Callithrix jacchus: one gene and its partners. The protein of the gene in region 3 interacts with the protein of the main gene of each other region in a pairwise test. Links are inferred from orthologs where the notes say so. Each region holds a gene or a part of one and is shown on either strand. Other genes may lie near its edges. The genes, in order: FAM161A; TCL1A; CARD9; TASOR2; keratin, type I cytoskeletal 19; CWF19L2; MFAP1.

The links.
Region 1: the proteins of CARD9 (region 3) and FAM161A interact in binary tests that used the Homo sapiens proteins (3 or more experiments, as listed by UniProt). The two-hybrid records come from large-scale screens. The link is inferred for Callithrix jacchus from reciprocal best matches to the Homo sapiens genes CARD9 and FAM161A.
Region 2: the proteins of CARD9 (region 3) and TCL1A interact in binary tests that used the Homo sapiens proteins (3 or more experiments, as listed by UniProt). The two-hybrid records come from large-scale screens. The link is inferred for Callithrix jacchus from reciprocal best matches to the Homo sapiens genes CARD9 and TCL1A.
Region 4: the proteins of CARD9 (region 3) and TASOR2 interact in binary tests that used the Homo sapiens proteins (3 or more experiments, as listed by UniProt). The two-hybrid records come from large-scale screens. The link is inferred for Callithrix jacchus from reciprocal best matches to the Homo sapiens genes CARD9 and TASOR2.
Region 5: the proteins of CARD9 (region 3) and keratin, type I cytoskeletal 19 interact in binary tests that used the Homo sapiens proteins (3 or more experiments, as listed by UniProt). The two-hybrid records come from large-scale screens. The link is inferred for Callithrix jacchus from reciprocal best matches to the Homo sapiens genes CARD9 and KRT19.
Region 6: the proteins of CARD9 (region 3) and CWF19L2 interact in binary tests that used the Homo sapiens proteins (3 or more experiments, as listed by UniProt). The two-hybrid records come from large-scale screens. The link is inferred for Callithrix jacchus from reciprocal best matches to the Homo sapiens genes CARD9 and CWF19L2.
Region 7: the proteins of CARD9 (region 3) and MFAP1 interact in binary tests that used the Homo sapiens proteins (3 or more experiments, as listed by UniProt). The two-hybrid records come from large-scale screens. The link is inferred for Callithrix jacchus from reciprocal best matches to the Homo sapiens genes CARD9 and MFAP1.

The regions. Positions count from the first base shown.
Region 1 is NC_133515.1:52,274,516-52,279,245, reverse strand, and holds the start of FAM161A (protein FAM161A), read right to left. Parts: upstream 3,404-4,730; 5' UTR 3,304-3,403; coding exon 3,121-3,303; intron 1-3,120. UniProt on the Homo sapiens protein: Involved in ciliogenesis.
Region 2 is NC_133509.1:130,524,393-130,529,403, forward strand, and holds TCL1A (T-cell leukemia/lymphoma protein 1A), read right to left. Parts: upstream 3,346-5,011; 5' UTR 3,282-3,345; coding exon 3,138-3,281; intron 1,297-3,137; coding exon 1,144-1,296; intron 729-1,143; coding exon 681-728; 3' UTR 566-680; downstream 1-565. UniProt on the Homo sapiens protein: Enhances the phosphorylation and activation of AKT1, AKT2 and AKT3. Promotes nuclear translocation of AKT1. Enhances cell proliferation, stabilizes mitochondrial membrane potential and promotes cell survival.
Region 3 is NC_133502.1:184,843,682-184,848,659, forward strand, and holds the start of CARD9 (caspase recruitment domain-containing protein 9), read right to left. Parts: upstream 3,401-4,978; 5' UTR 3,253-3,400; coding exon 2,904-3,252; exon of another isoform or gene 2,751-2,903; coding exon of another isoform or gene 2,468-2,750; coding exon 2,330-2,467; intron 2,158-2,329; coding exon 1,298-2,157; intron 891-1,297; coding exon 765-890; intron 1-764. UniProt on the Homo sapiens protein: Adapter protein that plays a key role in innate immune response against fungi by forming signaling complexes downstream of C-type lectin receptors.
Region 4 is NC_133508.1:8,021,888-8,025,141, forward strand, and holds part of TASOR2 (protein TASOR 2), read right to left. Parts: coding exon 3,254-3,254; intron 2,764-3,253; exon of another isoform or gene 2,574-2,763; intron 729-2,573; coding exon 547-728; intron 1-546.
Region 5 is NC_133506.1:91,731,979-91,735,364, forward strand, and holds the end of keratin, type I cytoskeletal 19, read left to right. Parts: intron 1-913; coding exon 914-996; intron 997-1,187; coding exon 1,188-1,344; intron 1,345-1,643; coding exon 1,644-1,805; intron 1,806-1,934; coding exon 1,935-2,060; intron 2,061-2,198; coding exon 2,199-2,453; 3' UTR 2,454-2,582; downstream 2,583-3,386. UniProt on the Homo sapiens protein: Involved in the organization of myofibers. Together with KRT8, helps to link the contractile apparatus to dystrophin at the costameres of striated muscle.
Region 6 is NC_133511.1:7,260,357-7,264,594, reverse strand, and holds part of CWF19L2 (CWF19-like protein 2), read left to right. Parts: intron 1-961; coding exon 962-1,084; intron 1,085-4,238.
Region 7 is NC_133509.1:31,470,026-31,474,263, forward strand, and holds part of MFAP1 (microfibrillar-associated protein 1), read right to left. Parts: intron 2,286-4,238; coding exon 2,126-2,285; intron 644-2,125; coding exon 554-643; intron 466-553; coding exon 283-465; 3' UTR 1-282. UniProt on the Homo sapiens protein: Involved in pre-mRNA splicing as a component of the spliceosome.

The DNA of each region.
Region 1 (4,730 bases), on a different chromosome or scaffold from region 3:
GCTGGGATTACAGGTGCATGCCATTACACCTGGCTAATTTTTATATTTTTAGTAAAGATGGGGTTTCATCATATTGGTCAGGCTGGTCTCGAACTCCTGACCTCAGGTGATCCACCCACCTCAGCCTCATAAAGTGCTGGGATTACAGGAATGAGCCACTGCACCGGCCTAAGATTTTATTTTTTATTTTTGTTTATTTATTTCTTTGAGATGGAGTTTCACTCTGTCACCTAGGCTGGAGTGCAGTGGCATGATCTTGGCTCACTGCAACCTCACCTCCTGGGTTCGAGCAATTCTCCTGCCTCAGCACCCCCTGGTATCTGTGATTACAGGTGTGTGCCACCACACCTGGATAATTTTTGTATTTTTAGTAGAGACAGGGTTTTACCATGTTGGCCAGGCTGGTCTCGAACTCCTGACCTCAGATGATCCACCTGCCTCAGCCTCCCAAAGTGCTGGGATTACAGGCATGAGGCACCATGCCTGGCCAGGAGTGAGATTTTAATTGCAAATTACATAGCATTGCTTTACCTGTATCATCATCAGCAATATAACAGGATATGTGGACTAACATCTCTGACTAAGGCCAGATTCAAGGAACAGGCATCAGTGCCCAATATGGGCACTGCAAGGGGTGTGTGTGTGTGTGTGTGTGTGTGTGTGTATGCCAGAGGGGGAGCGTACATGGGGATGGTGCAGGGGTTGGGGGGGGTGAAGGGAGGGTGGGATGGGTGGTCTGGTTTTGGCAAAACCAAAGAGCTGAAAGAGGCCTATTGTGATGGGTGGTTCTCAAATCTATCTTGTGGGGTAGGTATAATATTTGACTTTACTACATTTCATAGATAATAAGGTTAAGGCAAATTAACCTTTAAAAATCAAGACGGAGACCCAAGCCAACCAGTGAAGAAAGTAAAGCCTATTTCCTGCACTCTTCCTGCCTTTTTAGTGCCTCTTTCCCCATCCCTGTGCCCCATGGCTATCAGGTCCACTGTGGCAGCTGACCCACCTTTACTTTTGGATCTCTTATGTGGGATGTCTCTACTAAAAATTGTCTCAGAACAGTAACAAACTGTTAAGACTTGGCTTCCCAGGCTGGGTGAGGTGGCTCATACCTGTGATCCCAGCACTTTGGGAGACCGAGGCAAGTCGATCACTTGGTCAGGAGTTCAGAGATCAGCCTGGCCAACATGATGAAACCCCATCTCTACTAAAAATACAAAAATTAGCACAAGGCAGGTGCCTGTAATCCCAGCTATTGGTGAGGATGAAGCAGGAGAGTTGCTTGAACCCGGGAGGCAGAGGTTGCAGTGAGCCAAGATCGTGCCATTATACTCTAGCCTGGATAAAGAAGCAAGACTCGAACTCAAAACAAAAAGACTTGGCTTCGTTTTGTTTTTTGTAGGATTCTGTCCTTTCCATACTAGATTACTATATAAACTGATCTGTCCTAAGGTAATTAACAGGGCACTGTGGAAGTATATTTGCAGCTTAGAAATGACAGACTCCTTTATCACAGCAAGCCAAAGTAGAGTTTAATCTTTGGGAAGGCACACAAATGACATTCCCACTGGCAACTGTCATAATTATTACTCGTTTATATAGATTGCTTTTTAGAGGAGACACACATTCTTTCATTTGGTTCTCATAACAGCTGAGATGGGAAAGAGACAATTATTATAGATCTTTTACAGATAAGGAAACTGAGATTTAAGGAAGTTATGTCCTAACATCACCTAGCAAGCAGCAGAGAATGGATCCTAATAAGAACTCTTAAATCCTTTTTCTCAGCCGGGCGCAGCGGCTCATGCCTGTAACCCCAGTATTTGGGGAGGCTGAGGTGGGTGGATTGCTTAAGCTTAGGAGTTCAAGACCAGCCTGGGCAAATGGTAAAACCCCGTCTCTACTAAAAAAAAAAAAAAAAAAATACAAAAAATTAGCCAGGTATGGTGTCGTGCACCTGTAGTTCCAGTTACTCAGGAGGCTGAGGCAAGAGAACTGCTTGAACCTGGGAGGCGAGGCTGCAGTGAGCCGAGATCACACCACCGCACTCCAGCCTGGGCAACAGAGCAAGACTCCATTTCAAAAAAAAAAAAAAATCCTTTTTCTCCATAATGTTGCCTACTGAAAATTGTGTTGAGGGGTAGCTTTACCATGAACAAAACTGGCCTTAGCTCTCTGAGCCTGGTTCATGTTCAGGGTCTAATCTGCCTTACTCTAGGTAACTTCAAGTAGTTTGTCTGTTGGTGAAACACTGACCATAAAAGATGTTGCTAAAGATTTTCTCATTTAACAATTTTACTGTAGATAAAAGAGATTAAAATTCCAAAAAACCCAGTGATTTCAATTAATCCTCAATCTTAAGTTTTGTGTCTGAGAAGCTTTGGACACATGGTATTAAGAAACTTTTTCTATCTGCAGATTGCTAGCCAAATTCAAGATTCCATCTTTTAAGTGAATACAGCAGATGGCAGACCCTGCCCTCCACCTGTTGGACTGGTGTCCACAACAGATTTAACATTGAAAACTAATCAGTGAAAAGTCTGTCTGACCCTGAAGAGCCGTTTAGGAAACACTGAAACCTCAGTGATTTGCTTTTCCGAATGCTTATCTGTATCTGTCTGATCTAGCTAGTGAACTCGTGATGGTTTTAAACACGCATCTCTAGAGCATTGTGTTGAGATCCACTTATAACCAGGATCTTAAGGTGAATGACGAAATATACCTGATAGAACAGTTTTCCTCAAATTACAAAAAAAAAGGGGGGGGGGAGCGGAAAGAAATATCCATTCCTGAGATGCTGGAGAGTAGAGAGTAAAATTCTGTACTTTGCACTCGCCAGAAATAGAGTAACATAAATGTTGTCTAGGAAATTTTTACAACAAACTCTTTGGTCGAAAATTTTACAACAAACTCTTTGTTGAAAATTAAAACACTTTTGAACGCCTCGATTTAGAGTATTTTTTGTGAGCGTAAAGAAGCAGATTGGCCAGGACCACCGACTAGGGAGTATGTGCACAGGGCCTCGTACCAGCCTACCCTCAGCTGGGCGGGGACCCAGACAGCCCTCAGCCTGACCCCAGCCCACGCGAGGTCCCAGTCCATGTCCCGCCCCTGCATTACCGACGCCCCCGCGGGCTGCGCCACTTTCTCCTCCTCTTCGTCCTCCGAGATCGCTGTCGCTGCCGTCAGGGCCTGTAAGGGATCTTCGCGTTCGTACTGGGCGACCCGCGCCCCAGTAATGGGATTGACCGGGACCTGGAGACTGGAGGCCGCCAGTTTCGCCGCTTGGTGGGAGGCGGCCATCACCCCGCCTCCGAGGCCTGAGCGCCTGCGCTGGCCCGGGGCGGGAAAGCAGGCGCAGGCCCAGGCGACCCTGCGGCTCCTTGCTAAGGAGGGCGGTTGCTAGGGGCGCCGTAGCTGGGAACGCTACAGGAGCCGCGAGGGACCAAAAGTCACGCAAAAACCCCGCAGGCTGCTAGAGACCCGAGTCGGGCGCTCACTGGATCGTGGCACCTAGTTCCCAGTCTGTTTACTGGTTCCGAACGTTGGCAGGCTGAACAGAGCATTTATTCCACTGCTTTGCGTCTAACCGCCTAAACGCAGACTTCTCACATTATACAACGAAACAACTGCTTTTGTGAAGAAACGAGCGCTTTTTTATTAACTGCAATAACATGTTAGAAGGAGACGGTTGATAGAAGAGACGGCGGAGGAGGAGGAAAGCAGGGCGTGTTACTGGGTGACATTCTCAGAAGAGTGGCAAGCGTGGCGTCCCAGTACCTAACATGGCTCCCCCGGGAGCCAGAGAGTGGAAAGGAGGAAGGTACATTCTACTCTGATTGACTTCAGGGCTAGCAGGAATCCACCAATCAGAAAAAGGCTCCCAGTTGTCCCTTTCGCGTTTTTCTTGACCTGACCAATAAAAGCCCAGAGTTGAGTGGCGCCTGACCTTCCCACTAGTGTCAGTGCAGGTAGTGTAAACCTGGCGTTTGCTTTGGGTTTGTCAGCTTGAGAGTGACAGGATTGAATGGCGCGAGTGCCCAAGAGTCACCACAGACACACCCATCTCCCTCATCCCTATTTCTCTTCCCACTAGGGATTTGGGCGCATCAAATGGCGCCTTCCCTCTGCACCACGTGGCAAAAAGCCAAACCTCAAAATAGCAGAGTGGTGCAGTCTCAGATAACTGTTCCCTAAGCCCCTGCTTACCGAGGCCGAGGCTGCCGCTCTCTCGCTACCCTCTCCCTGTTCTTTACTCTCCTCCCGCTCCCCAGCGCTACAACCGGCCACCGGAGCCACCTGTGGTCAGTATTTTCCTCGTTATGTGTTGCACGTCGTCGAGAACCTAAAGGTCTGAGCCCTTTACCAAACCTTCTTTGTTCTCCTGTCTGGATGTGAGCACCTGCAACGTCTCCCACGTCCACACTTTCTTCAGGCTAGTCTTTGTTTTGGCTGAACATTTGTTTCCCATGCTGAAACAGATGCTGGCTGGGTTCTAAGCAGAAGCCAGAACCATGAGATATGGACCGCCATGTGTGGCCAAGTGTCCAGGAGAGCAATTTCCAGTCAGTTATGGCAGCCAGTTTTGTGGCTGCACTTGCCTGTCTTGGGATTAGGTGTAAGCCAGACCCCAAAACAGCAAGGCAGGTTCACATGCTGAAGCACTGCGAATGGAAAATTAGAATAAAATAAAACACTAAAATAATAGGAATTAGTGAGTGTGGAAAACG
Region 2 (5,011 bases), on a different chromosome or scaffold from region 3:
AGAGCTCATCCTCTGTCTGCCTGTTCCCTCCCAGAACCCAGCATGGTGGAGAGGAGCAGACACCGGCATAGGAAACGAGGGTGAAAAGAACCACGAATCTCCCCATTGTGGACTGGCCAGGTGCAGGCCCTGGGGCGAAGGGAGACAGACGGGTGCTGCAAGACCTGGGAAAGGACAAGAGAAGACAGAGTCAAGGGTGAAGGAAAGGACCAGGCAGGGGTGAGGGGCGATGCCGCTGGAGCAAGTCTGAGTGGGAAGCCTGGTGGTCAGTGATGGCCCCAGAGGCCTTCTGTCTGAGCCAAGGCAAACTCTGAACAGGATAGAGGGCTTATGGTCAGAAGACCACTTCCTCAGAACGCAATAACACCATCTAATATCTGGCTTGGTCGATATAATTTAAGAAAGCGACTGACAAAGTGCTGGCCGCAACTTGTGAAGCCCTGTACAGATGCATGCAGCTGCGCTAAGGTGGCCATATGCATCTGCGAAGCTCCTGGATCCCAGTGGTAAGGGAGAGACATGAGTGCCTCCAGGAAGCCTCTCCCATCCCAGGACCCTCAGAAGGCAATAGTCGGGGAGGGGTTAGCACTGCCCTCACGGAGAAGGGGTGCTCTTTCCTTCTGATACAGCCACTGTGGACTAAGAGGGGTCAGGTCCCAGTGGAACTCACCATGCCACACTCAGTCATCTGGCAGCTGCTCGAGAAGCATGTCCTCCAGGCCTTCAATCTGAGAGGCAGAGAGAGAGAGGGCACTGATCAGCCGGAGCCCTTCTCTCCCTCCATTTCTCACTCCTGTGCCTTCCCCTAGCTGGGAATAACAGGTGGGAACCCGAGTGTGAGGATTTCAGGGGCTCTTGGAGACTGCCCTCCTCCCTGTAGCCTTCAGCCTGTGACTGCCCACCAAAGGGGGCTTCCTGCGGCCAGGCTGGGGGTTGGCAGGGAATAGAGGGAGGGTTCTGTTAGAGACCTCAGAGGAGCTATCTTCTCTGTGGTAAAGTCTTTTAGAAATCCACAGTTGTACATTTCCCCCATTTTTTAATGCTTTTGGCACTGGGATGGAGGGAAGATAAACCACTGAGGCCAGGCACTGAGGAGGGGAAACCCAAGATCGCCCCATAGATCCCTGGGAGAAACACACTTGCCTTGACGTGGTACACTATGCGCCAGAAACCGGAGTCTGAGGATCGGTATCGTCCGTCAGGGTAGAGCTGCCACATGAGAGGCAGCAGGCTTGGGCCTATCTGGGTGGGGGTCATAGGCTTCCCCAGGAGGGTGACTTCCTGACGAAAGAACACCTGTAATTTATCCTCCTTCTGAGAAGAAGAAAAGGACAGGGCACACCTTCAGGATCCGCTTGCCAGGGCTCCTCCAGACACAGAAAACCAGAGTCCTTCCTGCCAGCCACCCACCCAGCTGGGGAGGGGTCTGAGTGTGAAATGCTGGTCATCACTGTCCCCTGAACCTCACTTCCTTAGCCATGCATGATCCTCACAGGGACTCTGGCTGGGCCAGGACCACCAGCATGCACACGTGTCTAGCCACCTAGAAAGGGCCATGAAAGGCACACTTTTTTCTGGCGAGTTGCAGTGACTCACACTTGTAATCCCAGTGCTTTGGAAGGCTGAGGTAGGAGGATCACTTGAGGCCAGGAGTTTGAGACTAGCCTGGGTGACAGAGCAAGATCCCGTCTCTACAAAAAAAAGAAAAAAAAAAAAAAGACGAAAGAAAAAAAAGAGAAAAAGAATACTGGCTTTTTCAAATGTGTGAGGCAAACCCTGCCCCACAGTTTGCTAGTGGGTTACTTTTTGTGTGCCATTTATCATGATTATGTGAAAAACTGTCTAGTTTGTGATTTTGGTGTCACGTTGAAGAAGAGATTTCTCAACCAGACATTGTAAAAAAGAAATTCACTGAATCTTTAAATTATTTTTTCAAATTTTGACTTAAGTAAACATTTGACATGATTTTTAAAGAAAAATGTATATTAAAAAAATTTAAATGCCAATAGAAGTGCAAATTTTGGTGGTTGAAGAGCCTCGAATTCCAGCCCCGTTACCTACTAGCAGTCCTACCTTGGGCACATGTATATTTTTGTGCTTCAGTTTCCCATCTGTAGAGACACAGTCAACACTCAATAACTCTTGTTTGCTATTGTATTACATACATGTTCTAATATATTTTTAAATTTGTATACTTTCTGCAGTGTATGTTTGGAAAGAGTTTGAATATTTTTGACTATTTCATTGAGTAAATCCAAATACTTGTAAAAGAGTTATAGTTCTCTAATAAAAACGTAACATGACCTAAAGACGCATTTTAAGGTATCACATATGAAACAAAGCCAATACTGATTCAATACTGGTGCTTAGACTCGTTAAATTTGTTCTTTTCTTTTTTTTTTTTTAATTGAGACGGAGTTTCACTCTTGTTACCCAGGCTGGAGTGCAATGGCGCGATCCCGGCTCACCGCAACCTCCGTCTCCTGGGTTCAGGCAATTCTCCTGCCTCAGCCTCCTGAGTAGCTGGGATTACAGGCGCGTGCCACCATGCCCAGCTAATTTTTTTGTATTTTTAGTAGAGACAAGGTTTCACCATGTTGACCAGGGTGCTATCGATCTCTGGACCTCGTGATCCACCCGCCTCGGCCTCCCAAAGTGCTGGGATTACAGACGTGAGCCACCGCGCCCGGCCTAAATTTGTTCTTCTTAATAAAGCACAGAGGAAATAGGAAATACCTCACACTCCAGCGCAGTGGTTGCTATGACCCTAAGCTGTTGAAAGTTCTTTATAAAATACAGATTTCTGGGACCCGCCTAAGATGATTCCGATGATTGGCCATATGAATGAGTCACTTACTTTAGAAATACCCATTTTAAGGATTAGGACCCCGAAGCCCAGAAACGTCCTGCTGTAGTCAACATTATAGTCACACTCACAGGTCCCATCCTTTGGTCGACATTCCTTTGTGGTTTTCCCACCCTTCTTCGCGGCCTGGTGAACTCCTGTTCAAAAGCCCAGAACCCGGCTCAAAGTGGCTTCATCTGTGGGGAGCCTCCCTGCCCCAAAGTGGGTGCTCCTCTAGGCCTCGCCCGTCCTGGGGCCTCCCAAGCTCCTGGGGCTGCCCCTGCTGCCTCACCATCCGCTCCAAAGCGGGCTGTACCTTGATGACTAAGGGCAGCCAGGTGCGCTGGTTCTCATCCAAATACACGAACTTCTCCCAGATCCACAGGCGGTCCGGGTGGTCGGTGACTGACTCCCTGCGTAACTGCTCCTGGGCCATGGCTCCCTCGGATTCTCTAAAAAGCAAGAGCCAGAGTCTCTCCAGGTAGCTCGCTGGTCCCTGGGCGATGGGGCCACGCTTTATAGCAAGGCAGCTTGCGGTCGCCACCCAGCGGCGGGGCGGGAGGACGGCCTTGGGGCGGGGCTCTGGGGCGGGACGACGACCTTGGCGCAGGGCGTAAGGCAGGATGGGGCGGGGCTCGTGGGGGTCGTGGTGGCAAGTGAGGGTCCCACGCAGCCTGACTTGCTCCCTGGAACGCTGGCAGCGCCTGGGAACGCAGACCTGGGCCCAGCAGGCCCGCGGCGACCCCGACCGCCGTTCTCCGCTGCTAGAGAGGCACCTGGGGTGACGGTAGCCCCTTCTTCTTCTGGGAGGCCCCGCCGCTCCCTTCGCTGCGGGACCCCGGAGTCTGGGCCTCTGCTGGGAACTCACAGTCGACACCAGGATGCCCAGAGCCGGGACCCCTTCCACATTTTCTGGGAGCAGAAGAGACCCACGCGGGCCTGAGCTAGGCCTGGGCTTTCCAAGCTTCGCTGGATCGCTCCCAGCCTGGGCCTTTAAGCGTCAGAGTACATTTCTTGGCAAAGTGCAACTCTTGACTCTCCCCCTTCGTCTTCCATACACAAAGCATGCGTTTTCTATGGCTCGGTGATGCTGTGGACATCTAATAGGTATTACAAAATGTGGTGGAGAAACATGGGTGTTTCCCTTTGGGCTTTGAATTTGCTAGTGAAAGCATAGTTCAAAATGAATACTTAAACCCCTCCTTCCACCCTAAGATCAGTGGATTTGAAAAGTACCTGGTTTATATGATCAAAACCATCTCTCTGTAAATTAGAAGCACTAAGGAAAACAATTCGCTTTATTTTGCAGTAACGCATTCCCACTGAGGCAATTAAGAAAGTAAGCATGAGAAACAGGTGAAACCAGCTCTAGCCTGATTCAAACATCACCACGGGATGGAGTTCGGTGCCTCCTTCTAGCTCTTTCCCATCTCTCTGGCTAGGCATTAATAAAATAATTTGTGATTCTTTGAAATGTCACAAAAGTGGATATGAAGAGACCTGATGAGGACACCTGATTCACCTGGCAGCCGGGTATCTGCCTCTTTGCCTGTCCAGACAACCTAATTCCCAAGAAGGGGCTGAGGTGGCCTAAGATAGCTGAGATATAAGGGAATTTACCAGGAACACAAAAATAGAAGAGAAAAGCAGAGGGAAGTTAGGGGTGGAGTGAGGGTCCTTGAGCCCAGCAAACCTTTTTTCCACTGTAGCCCTTAGTGCTGTTAATATTTAATATGCAAACTTACTGGTTTCAGACTGATTTTCCTGTGAATGGCTCTTGACTTCAGACCCAGATAGCTACAGAGCAAGATGAAAACGTCACAAGCTCTGTTGGGGAGGTCTCATCCCAGGCCACAGCTTTGAGGTAAGAAATAACAAGTCCAGTTAAAATAGTGCTGCTAAGATGGACTTTGGCCAGGGAAGGGGTCCCCAGGAGCCAATGTGGCCACTGACCCAGCCCCATCAGTGGCTCTAGGACCCAGAAGGCTACAAACAATGGAGCAAGAATCAGATCGTTGTGTCTGGGAAAGCAGAATGTTCTGGGAATAGAATTCCTTTTTCCTTCTTTTGTAAAAACTCTTCAATTTTGCATGAGGGCTTCTTAATATTGAGCAAGAATATATATCATTATTGTGTGGGATTTTAAAAATTATCTGAGAAAGGGTT
Region 3 (4,978 bases):
AGGAAGGGAGGAAGGGAAGAAAGCAAAAAAGAGGCCGGGCGTGGTGGCTCAAGCCTGTAATCCCAGCACTTTGGGAGGCTGAGACGGGTGGATCACGAGGTCAAGAGATCGAGACCATCCTGGTTAACATGGTGAAACCCCGTCTCTACTAAAAATACAAAAATTAGCTGGGCATGGTGTGGCGTGCCTGTAATCCCAGCTACTCAGGAGGCTGAGGCAGGAGAATTGCCTGAACCCAGAAGGCAGAGGTTGCGGCGAGCCAAGATTGCGCCATTGCACTCCAGCCTGGGTGACAAGAGCGAAACTCTGGCTCAAAAAAGAAAAAAAAAAAGAAAGCAGAAAAGAAAAAAGAAAGAGAAAGGAAGGAAGAAGATGGCAGGGAGGGGAAGGGGGGGAGGGGAGGGGAATATCTGTTAAGATGGAGCGGGATGGTAGAAGTTTCCCCTGACAGCAGGCTGGGATGAGGGAGTATTGACTTCATCAGTTTACTTTTTTTTTAGTGTTAGATATTCCTTCTGTTACTTAAAAAACAGGTCAGTGTGTTGGCTTAACCTGCAATCCCAGCGCTTTGGGAAGCTGAGGCCAGAGGATTTGCTTGAGGCCAGTAGTTTGAGGCCAGCCTGGGTGACATAGCGAGACCCCATCTCAAAAATAACAAAATAAAGATTAAAAACCCTCTGACAACTGCCCTCAAGGCCTGTGGCCCTGGTGCACCCACCTCGAATGGGGCACTCTGTTCCCCAGCCCCCACCGTGAGCACCCACCTGGTCCCGCTCGACAGCGACCTCCTCCATCTGCAACAGGATGGCCTCGATGCGGTCCTTGTACACCTTGCAGTCCTTGCGCAGGGCCCGACACTGCAGCTCCAACATCTCCTTCTCCTCCACGAACTGCAGGGGGTAGCAGCTCAGCCCCCAAGGCCTGAGGCTCCCCATTCTGACCAGTTGGGGGGTGCTCCAGCTAGGAGCTCAGGAACATGGGTCAGGTCAGTCGGGATGTTGGGGGAGGCCATAGGAGCCCCCAGGCCCCTATTACCCCGCCCTTCCAGACCACAGCAGCGCAGGGCTCTCCCCAGGCCTCAGGCACTGCCGTGCCCAGCTACAAGGAGCCCATGGCCTTTGCCATGGGGTGCAGGTGAGCAAGGAGTGATCACCATCCACTGTGCCTCCAGGAGTGGGTGAGTGGAGATGCTGCACTGGGGTCCCCGCACCCCACCTTCCAGACAGAGTGGGCGGAGCTCAGCCCACCTAGCCTAGCATGGCCCCCAGGGGCCACATGTCCTCGCCTGCGCTCGTACCCGGGCGTGACGGGCCTCGCCCTGGCGGAGGTCCTTGCGCAGGGAGAAGATGGTGCTGGCCTGCTCCTGGTGGTCCCGCAGCGCCTGCCTCCAGTCCTCTTCCAGCACCTGGATGTAGGGGCTGCTCCTGTCCAGCTTTCCCTCCTGAAGGGGGCAAAAAGCAATGGCCCAGCTGGGAAGGCCCATGCCACCCTGCCAGGCTGCACCCGCCCCACCTGTGCCCGCCCTGCCCGCAGCCACACCTGAACCGAGGCCTCCAGCTCCTGCACCCGGGCCTGCAGCAGGGCCTTCTCCTGCTGTAGCTCCCACAGCAGCTCCTGGCTGGGCCGCTGCTCCATGGCGTGCCTGAGCTTCAGTGTGTGCTTGCGTTCCACCTTGCAATCGTCCTCGGCCTTCATGAGGCTGTGCTTGAGCCGGTCGATCTGCAGAAGGCCGGGTGAGCCCAGCCATCCACTCCAGGTGCTGACAGCCGACCCACGGGGCTGCCCCCGACCCGCAGACCCCACCAGGCCAGGCGAGGGGGGCCACCCTGGTTCCCTGGGGCAGCAGGCGCACCTCCAGCTGCAGGTCGCGGTTCCGCATGAGCGCAGCGCCCTTCTCCTCGCTCTGGCGCGCCAGGCGCATGGCCAGGTCATAGTTCTCCTCCTTGCAGCGCTTGAGCTCACGGCTGCCGGCCTCGCACTCCTCCTTGAGCCTCTGCACACGCTCCTGGTGCTTGCGTAGCAGGCTGTCCTTCACCCGCAGCTCCTTGATGAAGTCGTCCTTGGAGCTCAGCAGCGCAGTCAGGTCCTGCACCTTCTTCTGCAGCTTCATGACCTCAGTCATCAGCAGCTGTGTCAGGCCTGACTCCCCGGACGCATCTGTGGACCGGGCCAGTGTCAGACAGGGCCCTTGTTCCCTGGCAGTCCAGCTCCATCACGCCTCGCGCTGTGGCAGGAGCTCAGGGCTCCTAAGCATGTGGGCCTGTCGGTTGACCGAGCACCACTGCCCAGCCCCGCCTTCCCTGCTGGCCCTGCCTTCCCCGTCACTCACCGATGATCATGGAGAAAACTCGGGCTGGCTCCTTGCCCGTGACCTTCTTGTACAGTTGCGGGTAGTAGAGCTCTAAGCTCTCGAGGAAGGCCACATAGCCCTTGTGGCCTGTCCGCTGCAGGATATCCAGGAGAACACCTGCAGGCCAGAGAGGCCGAAAAAGGGGCGGGGTGCTGGCGGGGCAGAGGGCTGGGATGGGTGGGCCCGGGGGCGGGGAGAGGTGGAGGCTGGGACGCAGAGGAGGTGTGCTGCTGTCTGGATCGTGGAAGAGGCACCCTGAGGGTCTAGGTGCTAGGCTGGGGGCAGTGCTGCCCACCCACCCCTTGGCTGTCTCAGGAGTCCCTGCTGTGGTGGGAGCCCCATGACCCCTCTTGGCAGCACCGAGCCAGCAAGAGAGGGCTGGGGGGTGGGGCGGCCACATGTCAGGGTTGAGTTTGGGCCTCACTGGGTGGCCAGGGGCAAAGCTGGGTGGGGTTCCTCTGGAGTTGAGGGTCAGGGTCGCAGAGCCTGCAGCCACCTCCGAGCTGGCTCCTTGGTTGGGTTTGGGGCCAGGAGCCTGTGGGACAGCACTGACCTACTTTCCGTTTGCGGATGACCAGGTTGGGGTCACTGAGCACCTGTTCCTCATCATCGGGATTCAGGACCTTGCACTGCCGCAGGTAGGGTGTGATGCGTGAGGGGTCGATGACCGAGGTGAGCGTCACCCGGAAGCCCTCCAGGGCACTCCAGCACTCATCATCGTTCTCGTAGTCCGACATGGCCCCAGCAGGCAGGCTGAGGAGAGTTGGGGCAGCCACTGAGCGTGACACGGCCTCCTGCCCCCACCCAGGCCCTGCTCCCACTCCCTTCTCAGATGCTGGGCCAGGGCTCTTGTCAGGGCTGTCAAGGGGATCAGCCCAGGGGCGTCTAGGAGAGGTGCCCATTCCCACAGCCAGATCCCCCAGGGAGGCAGCAGAGACACAGTGACACCTTCCCCTTCAGGTCCCTCCACAGCCTTTCCTAGCCCCTGCTGCTGCCCCTTGGCCATCCTGTCACCCAGATATGCACCCAGGGAGGCACAGATGGGTCCGAGAGAGGAACCCCCCCTTCAGCATGACCCCCACTCTGGCCTCTGCATCCTGGACACTCCCAATTCACCTTGGAGCCCTGGAGCCTGCAAGGACAGCCACCTCCATGGGTGGAGTGGTGTGAGCACCTGCCTGGCACTCTGGCCAGGCCAAGCTGGGTGAGAGCAGGTTGGCCTGTGACCCTCCCACCAGCACAGCAGCTGGGGGAGCTGGTCCTTCTGGGACTTCCTCATTCCCCTGACCGACACCCGCTCACATCCCGGGCTGTGCCCTCCCTCCTCCATGGCCGGCTGCTGATGATGCAAGAGTTGCCGCCCAGCCCTGCCACAGCTGCCAGGGTCACTGTACCAGCCAGGTAGAGCTGCCCACAGGAGTGTGTCTCTGTCACCCCCCCACTCCCTGGCCCCACAACCCTGGGAGGGGCTGTCAGTGTTGCCCTGGCCAGCCAGGAGTGCTGCTGTGGCATTTTCTCCAGGTTCCTAGGTGCTGGGCACCAGTGAATTCCTGGACTCTTCTGCCCCCCAGCCACCCCCTCCAGGACCATCTCGCTCACTGCAACAAAAGAACTACCCATGTTGGGACCAGCCACTGCTGTCCCTTTCTGCCAGCATGGTAGAAGCCTCCGCCACTGAAAGCCACTCCCTCCGGGACTGTGACTGGGCCAAGGCGGGGAGCACCCACATGGTCCTGCCTCCCACGCAAGACCCTGCTCCTCAGACAGCCTCCAGCCCCGCTGGGAAAGCTGGTTTCCAGCCCAAAGGAGCTGGGTCACCTCTCCTGGAGACAGTTGCCCCAGGCTTAGTCTTGTGAGGATTTTCTCAACTTCCTGCCGTGCTTTGTCTTCCCATTCAGGCCAATTTTGACAAACAGACAAGGGACTAAATAGAAGCACCACCCACACGGCAGACAGTCCTGGGAACACTGGGCCCCTGCCTTGCCTCTCCAGCCTGAATCCAGAGTCCCACCTGCCTCGGCTGGTAATGCCACTGAAATGTACACAGTGGCCGTGAAACGGATGGGGCCGCACATGGAGGCTGCCCGGCTCCCTGTGGAAAGCCTCATGCTGCTCTGGGGCATCAGCGCCAGGATCCTGAATGAGACTGACACCAACCTTCCTGGCCACCTTTCAGAAAAGCACCAGACCTACCCACCTGAGGGTCCAGGACCCACCTGACCGAAGACAAACCAGGAGTCTGGGCTGCAGAGCCTCTGGGAGATGCTACCCGTGACTGCAGGGAAGAGGAGCACGCTGGGATGCCTGGGCACTTCCTGATGGCTTCTGGTTAACTCCACAGTCCCGCCAGTCCTCCCACAGGGGGACAGTCCCTGGTGGCTTGCCTTCTGATTCGCCCAGCCCAGGAGGCCCCAAGAGGTGGGGCAGAAGGAAGTGGAAGTCCTCTGCCCTCCAGGGAAGCTGCTCCCAGCACTCCCAGCCTGTCTGGTGGCCAGGGGTCCTGGGGCTGCCTTAGAGGCCTAGCCCTGGCGCCTGGCAAGTAAAAGAGAAAGCAGAGGCTCCTAGAGGGCCCGACAAGGTCGGCCCACACCCAGTTGCTCTGACCTGGTCACAGACTTCTGGAGGCTT
Region 4 (3,254 bases), on a different chromosome or scaffold from region 3:
CTCAGTCTCCCAAAGTGCTGGTATTACAGATGTGAGCCACCGTGCCTGGCTGCCCCATAAATTTTTTAAAAGCAACCTCTGCCTCTGGGGTTCAAGCCATTCTCTTGCCTCAGCTTCCCAAGTAGCTGGGACTACAGGCATGAACCACCAAGCCTGGCTAGTTTTTGTATTTTTAGTAGAGATGGGGTTTTCACCATGCTAGCCTCAAGTGATCTGCTCACCTTGGCCTCCCAAAGGGCTGGGATTACAGGCATGAGCCATTGCACCTGGCCCCAGTATTAATTAAAAAACAAAAACATATGGTACAACTATACTGTGAGTATTATAAGTAATCTAGAGCTGATTTACATATATAGGATGATTGTGTAGTTATCTGCAAAATACTACATTTTATATAAGGTCTTCAGCATCAGAGTTGAGTGACTCTGGTATCCATGGGAAACCAAGCCATTTAGATATCTGATGAATAGTATCAGGTATCTAAATGGACATCCCTAGAGCTGACCAATTTTGGCATTAACTGAGTAAAATGAGCCTGTGACTTACCTGTCAGGAAGACAGCAAACCTGGCATTGATATGCTGAATTTGCAGGTTTAGCAAACATTTCAGAACTTCCGCTTTTGTTGATGATCGAGAGTCACAGTGGTGATAATGAAGCAATTCAATGATATTTGCACTCTGAAATGACTTCAATATTATGTTCTTTTTATGTGCAGTGGAATCCACTCTGAAAGATACACAGGAATATTAAAATGTTAATTTTCAGTTGTTTTATTCTTAGGACTTTTTCTTGCCTTCGGTCTAACCATTCAAACTTGAGATCCTCTGCCTTTCTTGTTTGCCTCTTTAAAGATGGAATCTTGCTCTGTTGCCCAGGCTGGAGTCACTGGCATGATCTTGGCTCGCTGCAACCTCCACCTCTGGGGTTCAAACGATTCTTCTGCCTCAGCCTCCCAAGTAGCTGGGACTACAGTCACGTGCTACCATGCCCAGCTAATTTTTGTATTTTCAGTAGAGACGGAGTTTCACCACATTGGCCAGTTTGGTCTCGAACTCCCTCATGATCTGTCTGCCTCAGCCTCCCAAAATGCAGCGATTACAGACTTGAGCCACCACACCCAGCCTGATGTTTTTTCATGACACACTTTGGTTGTCTCAAAACATCAAAACTGTACCTACTCCTTTTGTAAATGTGGATTTTCATCATGGACCTCATTCTAAGAGGGACATTACGCATCTACCTATGACCAATCAATCAAGCCATGTGGCTTGGCAAGCCTCCCATGAATTTCTAGTGGGCCTTACTGCATTGTGTACTTGCAGAGCAATGCAACTCTGCTCCTCATGCCTTGTGGACAGATAATCACCAACTTCATTGAAATTAAGTAGTAGTCAGAATTTTCTTGTTTTCTTGCCTCCCTGAAAAAACCCTATCAGTAGGAGAATGTGTTAACTTGGTACGTTTAAATATTTAGCATCTGTCTCTGCTCTTGACTCCATCTCCCTAGTCCTCATCGCTTACATTCTTATGCTTGTTGGAGAAAACTCAAATCACCCATTCCCATAACCCTAGTAATAATCACTCTTACATCATGATGAATGAATTTCCTTTCACTTTTTCCTATATACATTTTTTATATGATTAACATCATACTGAACATAACTATGTGATACCAACTTTTATGCTATCCTTATTTCTATGAATAGAAGCTTTTTATATGTTTCTATTTGTTGTGTAAGGTTTGGGTGACACTAGTTTGTATCCACATATCTCCATATCTTCCTCCTAAAGATGGAAGTGAGGTGGTTTCTGCAATTACTGATAATCACCTAGAATTCTGGGTAAATTCCACAAAAGATCAAAGGATATGAAGAGTTTTCATTAATGCATAATGATAATGCCAGAGTGGTGTAATTCGAAGAGCATATTACAGTGCCAACAGCAGTGAGTATGGCCACACACCACATAATGCCAGGCCATTATGAGACATATGAGATGGTGGTCTCATAAAATTATAATACTGTGTTTTTACTGTACCTTTTCTGTGTTTAGACATACAAATACTTAACACTGCATTAACTGCCTACAGTATTTAGACGTACAGGGTTGCAGCCTAGGAGCAGGCTCTACCATGTAAGTTTGTGTTAAGTACACTCTGTTTGCACACAGACAAGACTGACTAATGACATTTCTCAGGCTGTATCCCCATCCTTAAGTGACATGTGACTTTAAAGCCCTGGAAGTGCTAGATTAATTTATGCTGATTAATTTTATAGGTGTGCTGTGGTACATCAGAGCCTTAAATATGCTTCTCTATTTACTACATTGACATTTTCCCCTACAGTGCTAGTTATTGAAGTCCTCTGTGAACTGGTCATACCCTTGACCTGCTGAAGCCTTTGCACCCTCCTTTCCTGCCAAGGAAACCTGTGCTCTTTCTCTCTTTTGTTAGTTCTACTTCCAAGAGAAAACCTTTCCGAAACTCTGTGCATGGGAGCTTCTTTCCTTCAAGTCATGCGCAGCTAGCAGTGGTTCTGTCATTCTGGGACTGAAACCCAGCTTGAAACTTACTTGTTTGACTTGGTCGTGTTGTTGCCCACTCGGTGCCTCAATTCCGCATCATCAGAGTAAGGGCTTGCTACCCGCCTCCTAGGGCTGAAGTCTGAGTGTAAAGCATCATAACAGATGGAAAGCACCTGTCAGTGCCTGAAATCCTCATTTCACAAGGGCTTGTCAGGTCTGCTTTTCCAACTGGTCCTGCCTGTGAGCATGTGGAGGAACCTCTCAGCCCCAGCTCTCTTCAGCCAAGAAATCAAACACATTTTTTTTCTTTTACAAATTAAAGCTTTAGATTTAGGGAAGTGTGGCTATTTATCAGCCTCCTCTTTTAGGGTACAATTGAATTAAGGACAGATTATGGTCTTAATTTTTCCATTCTCCTCAAAATAGTGGTAACTTATAAATATTTTTTCAGTTTGTAGTAATAGGGCTTAAATAGAACAATATGGACATTGTGTGACTGCTAAGTTTGACTCCCTTACTTTTGTTAGTCTAGAGAAGTACGTGCCTCGTGCTGCTGGTTATGGCGATAGCACGTAGCTTCCTTCACTGAACACAGAGCCAGCAGCCCTCACGCTCTTTACTGATGAAGGCCACTTCCACTGCAGCACTATGCTAGAGCCCATGGAACATGTGGTGTTTCTCTTTCCCCTAGCGGGTCAGGAAGAACTGTACACACAGCAAGTCCTTACC
Region 5 (3,386 bases), on a different chromosome or scaffold from region 3:
GGCAGGTGGATTGTCTGAGCTCAGGAGTTTGAGACTAGCCTGGGCAATACGGTGAAACCCTACTCTACTAAAATACAAAAAAAAGTAGCTGGGCGTGGTGGCATGCACCTGTAGTCCCAGCTACCTGGGAGGCTGAAGGAGAATTGCTTGAACCCAGTGGGCAGAAGTTGCAGTGAGCCAAGATCACGCCACTGCACTCCAACTTGTGCAACACAGTGAAACTTTGTCTCCAAAAAAGACCAAAAAACCAACAGTCACCACCTGATGCATTGACTAGTGAGTGATGACCTGCTTTTTGAAAAACAACCCAGTTACCATAATCAATGATAAGGTGGCAGTTGTGAATGCACCCCTCAGGTCAGAAAGACCTCAGGTTGGGGTGAACTCGGATGAGGCATCACCCTAAACTTTAGTTTCTACCTCTGTAAGATTGGAGTAGCCAGTGACCTAGCAGTGAGGAACCAGAGGCTATCAAAGATGAGATTCAAAGTGCCTGGCACATAATAGACACTCAACAAATGGGCTTCTTTCCCTGGAGGCAAAATGTGTTTTGGGTAGTGGGTGGCTACAGACAAAAGTATAGATAAAATCTCCCCGGGTCTGGTTTATAGACCCCCTTCAGGCCATTTAGAGTTTCATTGCACACAGGTCTCAGAGGTTTCCTCCCTTGCCTTCCTGGCCTCCTCCGCCCGTGCCTCCCTGGCTCCAGTGTTTCCTCCTGCCCCAGCTCCTGGGCTTGGACTGTTTTCAAGGCCTCCCAGAGAGTGGGCCAGTGGGCGGCAGATGTTGGCTAGGGCTTTGGTGTCTAGAGAGCAGGGGCATATTCATTTGCTTCCCTTTCTCTTCTGAGAAGAAAGTGAGTGGGCAGCACCTGTGTGCTGCACTGGTGCCAACCTCTGCCTCTGCCTTCCAGATTCTTGGTGCCACCATTGAGAACTCCAGGATTGTCCTGCAGATTGACAATGCCCGTCTGGCTGCAGATGACTTCCGAACCAAGTGAGTGTCTCTGCCCTGGTGGCTACAGAAGCCAGGATCAGGGTTGGGGCTGGGGGGTTTGGAATCTGCCCTCACCTAGCCTAGCTGGCCTGAAGCTAAGCCCCCTGCGGACTCCTGAACTCTGGGGAGGTAGGGAAGTCTTCAGAGATGCAGAGAAAACTCTGCCTGGCTGCAACTATTTTTTCTGAAAGGTTTGAGACGGAGCAGGCTTTGCGCATGAGCGTGGAGGCCGACATCAACGGCCTGCGCAGAGTGCTGGATGAGCTGACCCTGGCCAGGACTGACCTGGAAATGCAGATTGAAGGGCTGAAGGAAGAGCTGGCCTACCTGAAGAAGAACCATGAGGAGGTGGGTTTCAAGCTGGGCCTTTCTTCCATGCTTCCCTGACCTCCCAGGGCTGAAAACTTTTATTCTGTATCCTCTGACCATGGTAACACTTGGTGTACCCTCACCATGGCCCTGGGTGTGGGTCATGGATCCCAGAGTTCTAAAAGGGATCAGTGAGGACCTAGTCTGTCCCCCAGTGCTAGTTACTAGGTCTGCACCTGAAAACTAAGCCCCTTTGGCCTGGAGGGTGGGGGAGTGACCTGGGCCAGTTCCAGAGGGGGCTGGGTCCTGACATGCTCATGTCTGCTGTATCTTTTCAGGAACTCAGTGTGCTGAGGGGCCAAGTGGGAGGCCAGGTTAGTGTGGAGGTGGATTCAGCTCCAGGCACCGATCTCGCCAAGATCCTGAGTGACATGCGAAGCCAATATGAGGTCATGGCCGAGCAGAACCGGAAGGATGCTGAAGCCTGGTTCACCAGCCGGGTACGCAGAGGGAAGCAGGCACGCTTTGGGGGTTGGCAAGGAGAGAGGGCTCGGTGCTCCCTACGCGAAGTTTGGCCTTGAGTATTATTCCCTCTTCCTTCTCTTATTCCCTCTTCCTCCTCTCTGCAGAGTGAAGAACTGAACCGGGAGGTCGCTGTCCACAGAGAGCAGCTCCAGATGAGCAACACCGAGGTCAGTGACCTGCGGCGCACCCTCCAGGGTCTTGAGATTGAGCTGCAGTCACAGCTGAGCATGGTACGTATCCCCTGGTTCCCTGTGCCATGCACACTTCTGTCCTTGCAGCAGCCTAGGGCAGCCTGGCCGGTGGCTATGCCCACGTCCTCTCTGGGAACCAGGCTCTGCCGAGTCTTACTCCCCTCTCCCCACCCTCAGAAAGCTGGCTTGGAAAGCACACTGGCAGAAACGGAGGCGCGCTTTGGAGCCCAGCTGGCGGAGATCCAGGCACGGATCAGCGGTATTGAAGCCCAGCTGGGCGATGTGCGGGCTGATAGTGAGCGGCAGAATCAGGAGTACCATCGGCTCTTGGACGTCAAGTCGCGGCTGGAGCAGGAGATTGCCACCTACCGCAGCCTGCTGGAGGGCCAGGAAGATCGCTACAACAACCTGTCTGCCTCCAAGGTCCTCTGAGAAGGCAGCGGGCCCGGGGCTTCTGTTGTCCTTTGGAGGGTGTCTCCTGGGTGAGGAGATGGGAAGGAAGGGACCCTTATCCCCAGGCACGTCCCTTGACCTGCCAATAAAATTTTATGGTTCAAGGGAGGAAGGATGTTTGGTTTGTTATTTCAGCCCATGGAGAGGTGCGTCAGGCCCTGGCCCTGTGTAGGTTTTATTTGAACCAAAGTTCACTCTGTCCCAGGAAAGGGAGGGGAGGATACACACATACCTTGACTGTAATGGTAATTCCTGTTTGCGGAAGTCTTCATTTATTTAACCTGGCCCTTAAAATAACCTTGTGAAATAAGTGTTGCTTCCGTTTTACAGAGGTAAACTAAGGCTCAGGGAGCGAAGTGGTTTGTTCCACATGTAACTGCTCTAATGTATGGCAAAGGTGGGATTTGAAATTGTTTTTGCTTCCAGATTTAGTTTTCTTTCTACTCTACTCCCTGGGGGTTGAGGTATCTGAGCGAAATTAATATGTATTGAACACCTAATATGTGCCATTGAATCAAAAACAGGCCTAAAAGATAGGTAGTATGAGCTGCATCTTACAGCTCAAGAAGCAGGCTGAGAGAGGTTAAGTAACTTGTCCAAGGCCACTCAGCAACTGCATGGCAGAGCCAGGACTAGAACCTAAGTTGCCTGATTCTTAGCCCATCGTGCCATCCCCAGCCAGGTGGTCTCCTGGAGTTGACGCTGCTTGTGCCTGTCTTGCTGACACTCCAGTCTTGCTCCATATGAAGGCTCAGGCCGGCTATCCCTAGGGACAGTTCCTTCTGACACATTTCTCCATCTTACTGACACTGGGGATTTCGGGCCAGGCATCCTGCTCAGGAGGCTGTACCTGTCAGTGTGCGTTGCGTGTGTGCACCTACTGGCACATTCACTGGGTAAGCCCTGCAGAAG
Region 6 (4,238 bases), on a different chromosome or scaffold from region 3:
TATCTGTCAACTCACCAACTTATTTTTTTGTCATGAGAACATTAAAAGTTTATTCTTCAATGGTTTCGAAATAGACAATACATTATTGTTAACTACGGTCATCAGTAATATATCACTAAAACTTATTTCTAGTGTCATGCAAACTTTGTACCTTTTCATCAACATCTTCCCTTTCCCTATCCCTGGTCCTTCCCCTAGGCTTTTCCTGTAATTTTAGTTTGTGCTATCTTCTTATATTTTTTATGGCCTAATAATCTTGTATAAATTTCTGGGGGGACCATAGAAGGATATTATATGTCTTTGTGTTTATGTGTGTATATGTATGCATATGTATACATGTTTGTGTATATATGTGTTTATTGATTATATTTGTCACATTAATATCCAAATATAGCCAAAATTTTCCCAGTATTTTTCTGGTAAGAAGTCTCAGTTATGGCCGGGCGCAGTAGCTCAAGCCTGTAATCCCAGCACTTTGGTAGGATGAGGCAGGTGGATCACGAGGTCAAGAGATCAAGACCATCCTGGTCAACATGGTGAAACCCCGTCTCTACTAATAATACAAAAAATTAGCTGGGCATGGTGGCGCGTGCCTGTAATCCCAGCTACTCATGAGGCTGAGGCAGGAGGAGAATTGCCTGAACCCAGGAGGCGGAGGTTGTGGTGAGCCGAGATCGTGCCATTGCACTCCAGCCTGGGTAACAAAAGCGAAACTCCGTCTCAAAAAAAAAGTTCTCAGTTAAAAGAAGTCTCAGTTATATAATTTATTAATATTGCATATATTGTAGCAGGTGTTTTAAGGTTTCCTGAAAGATTTTATTTATTTAGACATATTCTTTGTCTTATTTCATCAAAGATTGAAAGTTTTTTAGAATGTGGATTTTGTTTTTTCTCTCAAAATACATCCTTTTAAATTAAGATGAAGATAAATTCTTTTCTTGCCTGTTCAAAATGATTGCAGGAACACTCTGTGAAGAAAAAGAAGAAAAAAGACAAGCATTCAAAAAAAGCAAAGAAAGAGAAGAAGAAAAAGAGCAAGAAACAGAAATATGAAAAAAACAATGAGTCATCTGAAAGCTCATCAGTAAGTATGTACGAAAATTAATCAAAGTTTGAATGCATGACTTATGGGAACTTAAAATACAAGAGAACTTAAAAAAGGTGTTACTAGTTAGGATATGAAAATATCTGGGAGACATCTACTGGAGATGTCCAGGAAATACTGGAAATGTTGATCTTGAGTTTCAGAGAAGGGTTAAGAGGATAGGGATATGATTTGGGAATTATTGCCAAGCACAGCATTGGCTCTTGCCTAAGGCCTGCTATAATGACTACCTGGCTACAGCCTGTGTTCACTCAAGGCCCTGGGGCTCTGCAGTCAGCAGGTGGTGAAGCCAGCTAGGCCTGTGTCTTTCCCTTCAGGGTGGCAAGTTCCCCCAGGCTCGAGGTGGGTCCAGAGGTGCCATCAGGGACCCAGGTACTATCATCAAAAACCCTAGAAGTCTACCTGGTGTTCTGTTGAACTGTGGCTGAACTGGCACTCAACCTATGAATGGCAGTCTTTCCCACTCTTCCCTCCCCTTCCCACAGGCAGAAGGGCCTCACCCTGTAGCCATCACCATAGACCCACAGGGAGTACTGCCAGGCTACCACCAATGTTCCCTTAAGGCCCAAGAGCTCTTCAGTCAGCTTATGGTGAATGCTACTTGGCCTGAAACTCACTCTTCAGGGCAGTGAGCCCCGCTCTGGTCCAGGGCAGATCCAGAAATGCCATCCAAGTTCCAAGGCCTGCAGTTGGGGACCCCAAGATCCCTCTTGGTGTTCTGCCACCCTGTGGCTGAGCTGGTACCTAAGATGTAAGACAAAGTCCCATTTAGTTTTTTCAGTCAGAAGGAGGCCCTCCCAATAGCCACCAGAGCTGGGAGTTTGCTGAGTCTCACCTGAATCCAGCAAGTCTCAGATTCACAGTGAAGGCTCACAGTGTAGTGCCTGGGCACTGCTGGTGGTTATTCAGGGCCCAAGGGCTTTTTATTGGATACCAGCTATGGCTGAGTTGGTATCCAAGACGCAAGAGGAAGTCCTCTATTTGCTGTTCTCTCTCCATTTGCTCTTCTCTCTCCTCTCAAGTAGGAGGATGGGGTCTCTTTTGGAGCTGCACATTGTGCAGCCTGGGGTTGGGGGAGGGGTGGTGCAAGCACTCCTTTAGCCAACTCAGTGGCCCCACCACCACCCATCCATTGTCTCTGAGGCCAGTTCAGCACTAGGAGTCACTGAGGAATTGCAAGTTTTTGTGGCTTAGACTGCCTGTCAAGTTTATTGAGAGCTCCAGAGCCCTTTAGTCTGAGGCGGCAAGGCTTGCTGGAGCTTAAGTTCTGACTGCTGGGATAGACGAGTCCTCTCTGGCTAGGGCTGGTTTAAATACTCCCTCCATAGGTGGCCGTCGGCTGAGTTTAGCTCGGTTTTGCTTTCTGCTGTGACAGGGCACTACTGAGCTCAATGCGGTGTCTTGTAGTCGCTGTGCTCTCCCTCTCCAAAGTGTACAGATTCTCTGTGCTGCGTGGCTGCTGCTGGGGGATGGGGCAGGGATGGTGTCAGCCATTTAAGACTGTCTGCTCCCCTCCTCAGTGTCTCTTTCAGTGATATGAAGTTAAAACTAGGTCGTGTGAGTGCTCACCTGATTTTTGGCTCTTATGAAGGTGCTTTTTGAGTATGTAGATAGTTGTTAAGTTGGTATTCTTGCAGGGAGTAGGGGAGGATGATGGATTGAGGCTTCTACTGGCCATCTTGCTCTTTCTTCCTGGGAGGGTCTTTTTGAGAAATTACTTTTAGGGAAGGAGAGAGAAATAGTATTGAGGAGAATAATAAATTTGGTGTAGCAAGGTCCTGGGGGAAAGGGTAGCTTTGGAGCTACACGTTTTTACCACTTCCCTCCTAGCTCAGAAGAGAGGGTACAGGAGTAGGAGCAGCCTCTCTTCTGAATGAGGAGGGAAGTGGTAAAAATGTACCAATATAAATAAATGAGGAGGTGTGGTATGGAGTTTCTGCTTGTCCTCCTTCCTTTATGAAGTAGAAGGTAAAATGACTGACGAGATAATATGAGAGTAAAAGTAGGACAGAGGGATTGAGGAAATAGTATAGATTTGAAACAGCTTTGCTTAGGTAATAAAAGAAGCAAAAAAAATGTGCTGAGCAGCACTGGGGATACATGTGAGGCTGCAAAGCATATCTTGGCTTTGTCAAGGTCACTTTAATTTTTTCTTTTAACTTTTAAAGTCAACTTGACTGAGGTTCAATTTATGTAAGTACAGTGCTCCTTTTTTCAGTGTACTGTTTGATAAATATGGCTGTTTAACCATGTCAGTTGAGATACAGAGTATTTCCGCTATCCCATAACGTTCTTCATGGCCTCTTCTAGTCAGCCCCTGTCTCCCTGTCTCCTCCTCCACTTTGCTTTGAACAACCGAATATCTCCTTTGCACACTGTAGGTTTTTCTGTTCTAGATTTGTATGTTAGTTGGTTCATGTAACATAATCTTTGTTGTACCTGGCTTCTTGGACCCCACATAGTGTTTTTGTGACTTATTCCTGCTATTGAATGTATCAGGAGATACTTTCTTTTTATTGCTGTATCCAGTGTGTGAATATACCACAATTTGCTTTTCTTTTTATCTGTTAAAGTCATTTGAGTTATTTTTAGTTAGGGGGTGTTAGGCCTAGTGCTACGGGGAACACTTGTATACACTTGTGGATATACATGTTTCTTGTTTCTGGGAGGAAAAATGCCATTGTTTTCCAAAGTGGTTGGGCATTTTCCACTCATACAAAGTGTATGAGTTCCAGTCACTCCTCATCCTTGCTAGTGCTTGGTATTGTCAGTCTTAGTAGTTTTTAGCTGTTCTGCTGTGTAATACCTCATGTGGTGCTTCCCCGAAGGACAAGGATGTAGAGCATCATTTTAAGTCTCTATAGGACATCCTATGTCTTCCTTTGTAAAATCCAATTTATTAAATATTTTCTTTTTAGTTTTCATCATTTTTTCTTAGTGCTTCTGGTATACTAATTTTTGCACACCTCAAGATTGCGATTTCTCCTATGTTTAGTGTTTTTATTAATTCTTTTTAAAGAGATAGGTACGGTCTCCCTGTGTTGCACAGACTGGAGTGCAGTGGCACCATGCTAGCTCACTGCAGCCTCGAACTCCTGGGTTCAAGCAATACTGCTGCCTTAGTCTCCCAATC
Region 7 (4,238 bases), on a different chromosome or scaffold from region 3:
TATGGGAAACCATAGCAGTGATAAAACCTAAGATTTCTCAGAAATAGTTTTAAGCAGGAAGCTTCTAATTCTACCTGGACAGTGCTTTCCTTGTGGGTTTCTCAGCATGAGTCCAAACCTCGCAAAGCACCTTCCAAGTCTGGGCTACCCAGTATCAGAATTATAAAAGGTAGGTCCAATAGCTGGATACAGGGGCCAAGGAAATAATGAAAAAGCAAATCAAGGACCATATGCTGAGACTTCCCCTCGTGTTCCACAGTTGGAAGAATAAGCAAAACTACCCTAGGTAGTTTTCCGCTTCTTGGCAGATGGCCGTTCAAATACATCTCGTACCCCAGCTGCCTTTTGTTTGAAGAACTTTGTGTTCTGGGCACTCTCTTGGCCCCAAGCTGAGTCGAAGGAAGTGGTATCTTGATCCACAAGGTGAGTATATTTGGTGCGACCTGAGCGTCCAAAGTTCTTGACCTGAGGGAAGATGTAGGATGGTTACACCATCAAACCATACCTCATCTGTCAATACATTACTTTTTCATGTTATTAAGGTTCCCCATACCTGCATGACTTTAGGAAGAATGGTCTTGTTGAAATGATCCTCCAGGGTAGGAGCGCTGAAATCTCTCTTGTATACTTCTTCATCCTCATCCTGTAGAGAAGAATCTTATCAGTCTAGTGGCTTTATTTCCTATATATTCAAACCACAAACATACTTTACAATGAAGGATACAAAGAAAGCAGAGGGTATTGAGTCTTTCTTCAAGAGCTTACATCTAGTTGAAGAGATTCTTTTTCCTTTGTTGTATTATCTTTAATTTTTTTTCCCTGAGACGGGGGGGGGTCTCATTCTGATGTCCAGGCTGGAGTGCAGTGGTGTGATCACTGCTCACTGCAGCCTTGACCGCCCAGGATCAGGTGATGCTCTTACTTCAGCCTCCTGAGTAGCTGGGACTACAGGTGCACGCAACTATGCCTGATTTTCTCCTTGAATATAGACATGACTCAAAGGTTGGCTTATTCTCTCTGCACTCAATGTGTTCATTTACTCATGTGACTTCAGCTCTGCACAGGCCTCTCCAATCTCCAATCCTGGATTTTCTACTGCCTTTTATATAAGCTGGATATTTTATTGGGACTTTAAACTCACATCTAAAGTGAAGGGCAGGAATTTAGTTGCGGTGGGGATATTTAGAATTTGCTAAACAGTTGAAAAAGCTCGTCTAGTTTTTGATACAAACTGCTTTAACATGACAAAATCATAAACCATACAGGGTTAGCAGATTGGTATTTTGACTTTAGACTTTACGTGAAGAACAAAGATGGCACTCCACCTAATGGTTAGATAATAAACCATTCTTTTGGTTAGTTATGCTTAGGTACTTTGTCAGTTCAGAATGAAGTGAACCTTTTACCACCCAAATGTGAATTAATGTAAAGCTATTTGCAGTTTGGTTTTCACATACCCAAAACTTCTTATTCAGGTATGAAATAATAACAACTATGTGATTTGGAGGACCTAATTAGTCCACTATCTATATAGATCACTTCTCCATTTCATTTCCTCAGTTTATCTAAGGCTGGGGATGATGGCGCATGCCTGTAATCCTAGTACTTTGGGAGGTTGTGGTGGGAGGATTGCTTGAGGCCCAAAGGTCAAGATCAGCCTGGGCAACATATAGTGAGACCTGGTCTCTGCAAAAAATTGAAAAACTAGCAATTAGCAAAAAGAAAAATTAGCCAGGCATGGTGGTGCATGCCTATAGTCTCAGCTACTCTGGAGGCTAAAGCAGGTGCATAGTTTGAGCCCAGGAGGTCAAGGTTGCAGTGAACTATAATCATATCACTGTATCCCAGCCTGGGTGACAGCAAGACTTTGTCTCGTAAAAAAAAAAATATATGTCTATTACATCATTTCCTCTTTTTGAGAGCTGGGGCCAAAAGAGAGTTGATTACACTTCTATAATCCAATTACTGATGATGCTTTTCTCTGAGTTTATATTCTTCAGAGGGAAACAGCAAATGAGAAAGCTGACCACTGGCAAGTGAAAATAACATTCTTGAGGAGAAAAAATAATTCAGTATCTGAGTTATTCCTACTGCCCAATTTTTGGACTCTCTTCTCACTTCTTACCATGAAGAAGGCACCCCTGTGATAATACTTCTGTAAGAACTTATATTTGCCCTTAACAGCTTTGTTGGTAATAACTTTGCCATTTGCCCGAAGCTCAGCTCTTCTCTCTTCCTCAGTCAGGTTTCGCATGCGTTCAATTTCTGCTTTCTCCTTCTCAAGCCTGTCCAGGGAGCAAAACAATTTATTGGTACTGTTACAGCTTCAGAAAGACCAAATTATCTGAAAATAACAGTCCCATGTCATTCCAAATATTATTCACCCTCTTTAATTCTAGTCGCTGCCTATTAGGAATCAAGATCAGGAGCTCAATAAACAAAAGGGTAAGTTGGTCTTCATTATTTTTGCCAGACTAGGTATTGTCCACTTCCAAAAGTTGATTCTAGCCATTTTGAGGTTCAGACATACTATTATTACTGCTTCATTTTGCAACATTACAAATTCTCTTTCCCTAAAAAGTATTCTTAGCTTTAAAAAAAATCAGTGAATTTAAAATAACTGTCCAGGACTTCGGTGATATTCCTTTATGTAAGTGTATCAGAATCATATAGGTGCTTGCATGTCATAAACCAAAGATTACTGTTATTAATTAGATTGCAGTAACTTTTTAGCCACTATTAGGGAGAGAGGGGGTGATATCCCCTTTTTCCAAAAAAAAAAAAAAAAAAAAAAAGCATATATACACATAATTTTGTGTACAGTTTTTTTTTTTGTTTTGTTTTTTTTTTTGAGATGCAGTTTTGTTCTGTCACTGAGGCTGGAGTGCAGTGGCACAATCTTGGCTCACTACAACCTCCACCTCCCAGGTCCAAGCGATTCTCCTGCCTCAGCCTCCTTAGTAGCTGGGATTACAGGTGTATGCTACTATGCCTGGCTAATTTTCTTATTTTTAGTAAAGATGGGGTTTCACCATGTTGGTCAGGATGGTCTCAAACTCCTGACCCTTGGCCTCCCAAAGTGTTGGGATTACAGATATGAGCCACCATGCCCAGCCTTGTGTACAATTTAAAAGGGCACTTGGACTCCTACTCGTTCAAGTCCAGGATAAGAACCTTAGAAACTACAGACTGAGGGCTGGGCATGATGGTCATGCCTGTAATCCCAGCACTTTGGGAGGCCAAGGCGGGTGGATTACCTGAGGTGAGGAGTTCGAGGCCTGCCTGGCCAAAACGGTGAAACCCAGTCTCTACTAAAAATTAAAAAATTAGCCAGGCGTGGTGGCACATGCCTGTAGTCCCAGCTACTCTGGAAGCTGAAGCAGAATTACTTGACTCCCAGGGGGTGGAGGTTGTAGTAAGCCGAGATCACACCACTGTATTCCAGACTGAGTGAGAGTAAGACGGTCTCAAAAACAAAACTACGGGATGAGGATGGAGTTTTATCTATTATGTGTAGCTTATATGGCTCATATTCAGGCAAATTTTGGTTGTTTTTTCAGACAGTCTCACTCCAACTCAGGCTGGAGTGCAGTGGTATGATATCAGTTCACTGTTACCTTTGACTCCTGGGTTCAAGTGATTCTCCTGCCTCAGCCCCTGAGTATCTGGGACTAACAGGCACACACAACCAAGATGGCTAATTTTCACATTATAGTATAGATGGTGTTTTGTCATGTTGGCCAGGCTGCTCTCTAACTCCTAGCCTTAAGTGATCTGCCCACCTCAGCTTCCCAAAGTGCTGGGATAACAGGTATGAATCACTGCGCCCAGCCTTGAGTTATCTATTGATTGTTTCCCTTTATAATCTGGGATTATCATCTCATACCTAGTAATTTACAGGAATGGGTGATGCAGCTCAGAAATGATTCTTCTTGAACTGGGCATGGTGGCTCACACCTGTAATCCCAGCACTTTGGGAGGCCGAAGTGGGTGGATTACCTGAGGTGAGGAGTTCGAGGTCAGCCTGGCCAAAACGGTGAAACCCAGTCTCTACTAAAAATAAAAAAATTAGCCAGGCGTGGTGGCACACGCCTGTAATCCCAGCTACTCTGGAGGCTGAGACAGGAGAATCGCTTGACGCTGGGAGGCAGAGGTTGCAGTGAGCCAAGGTTGTGACTTTTCACTCCAGCCTGGGCAAAAGAGGGAAACTCCATTTCAAAAAGAAAAATGGTTCTGCT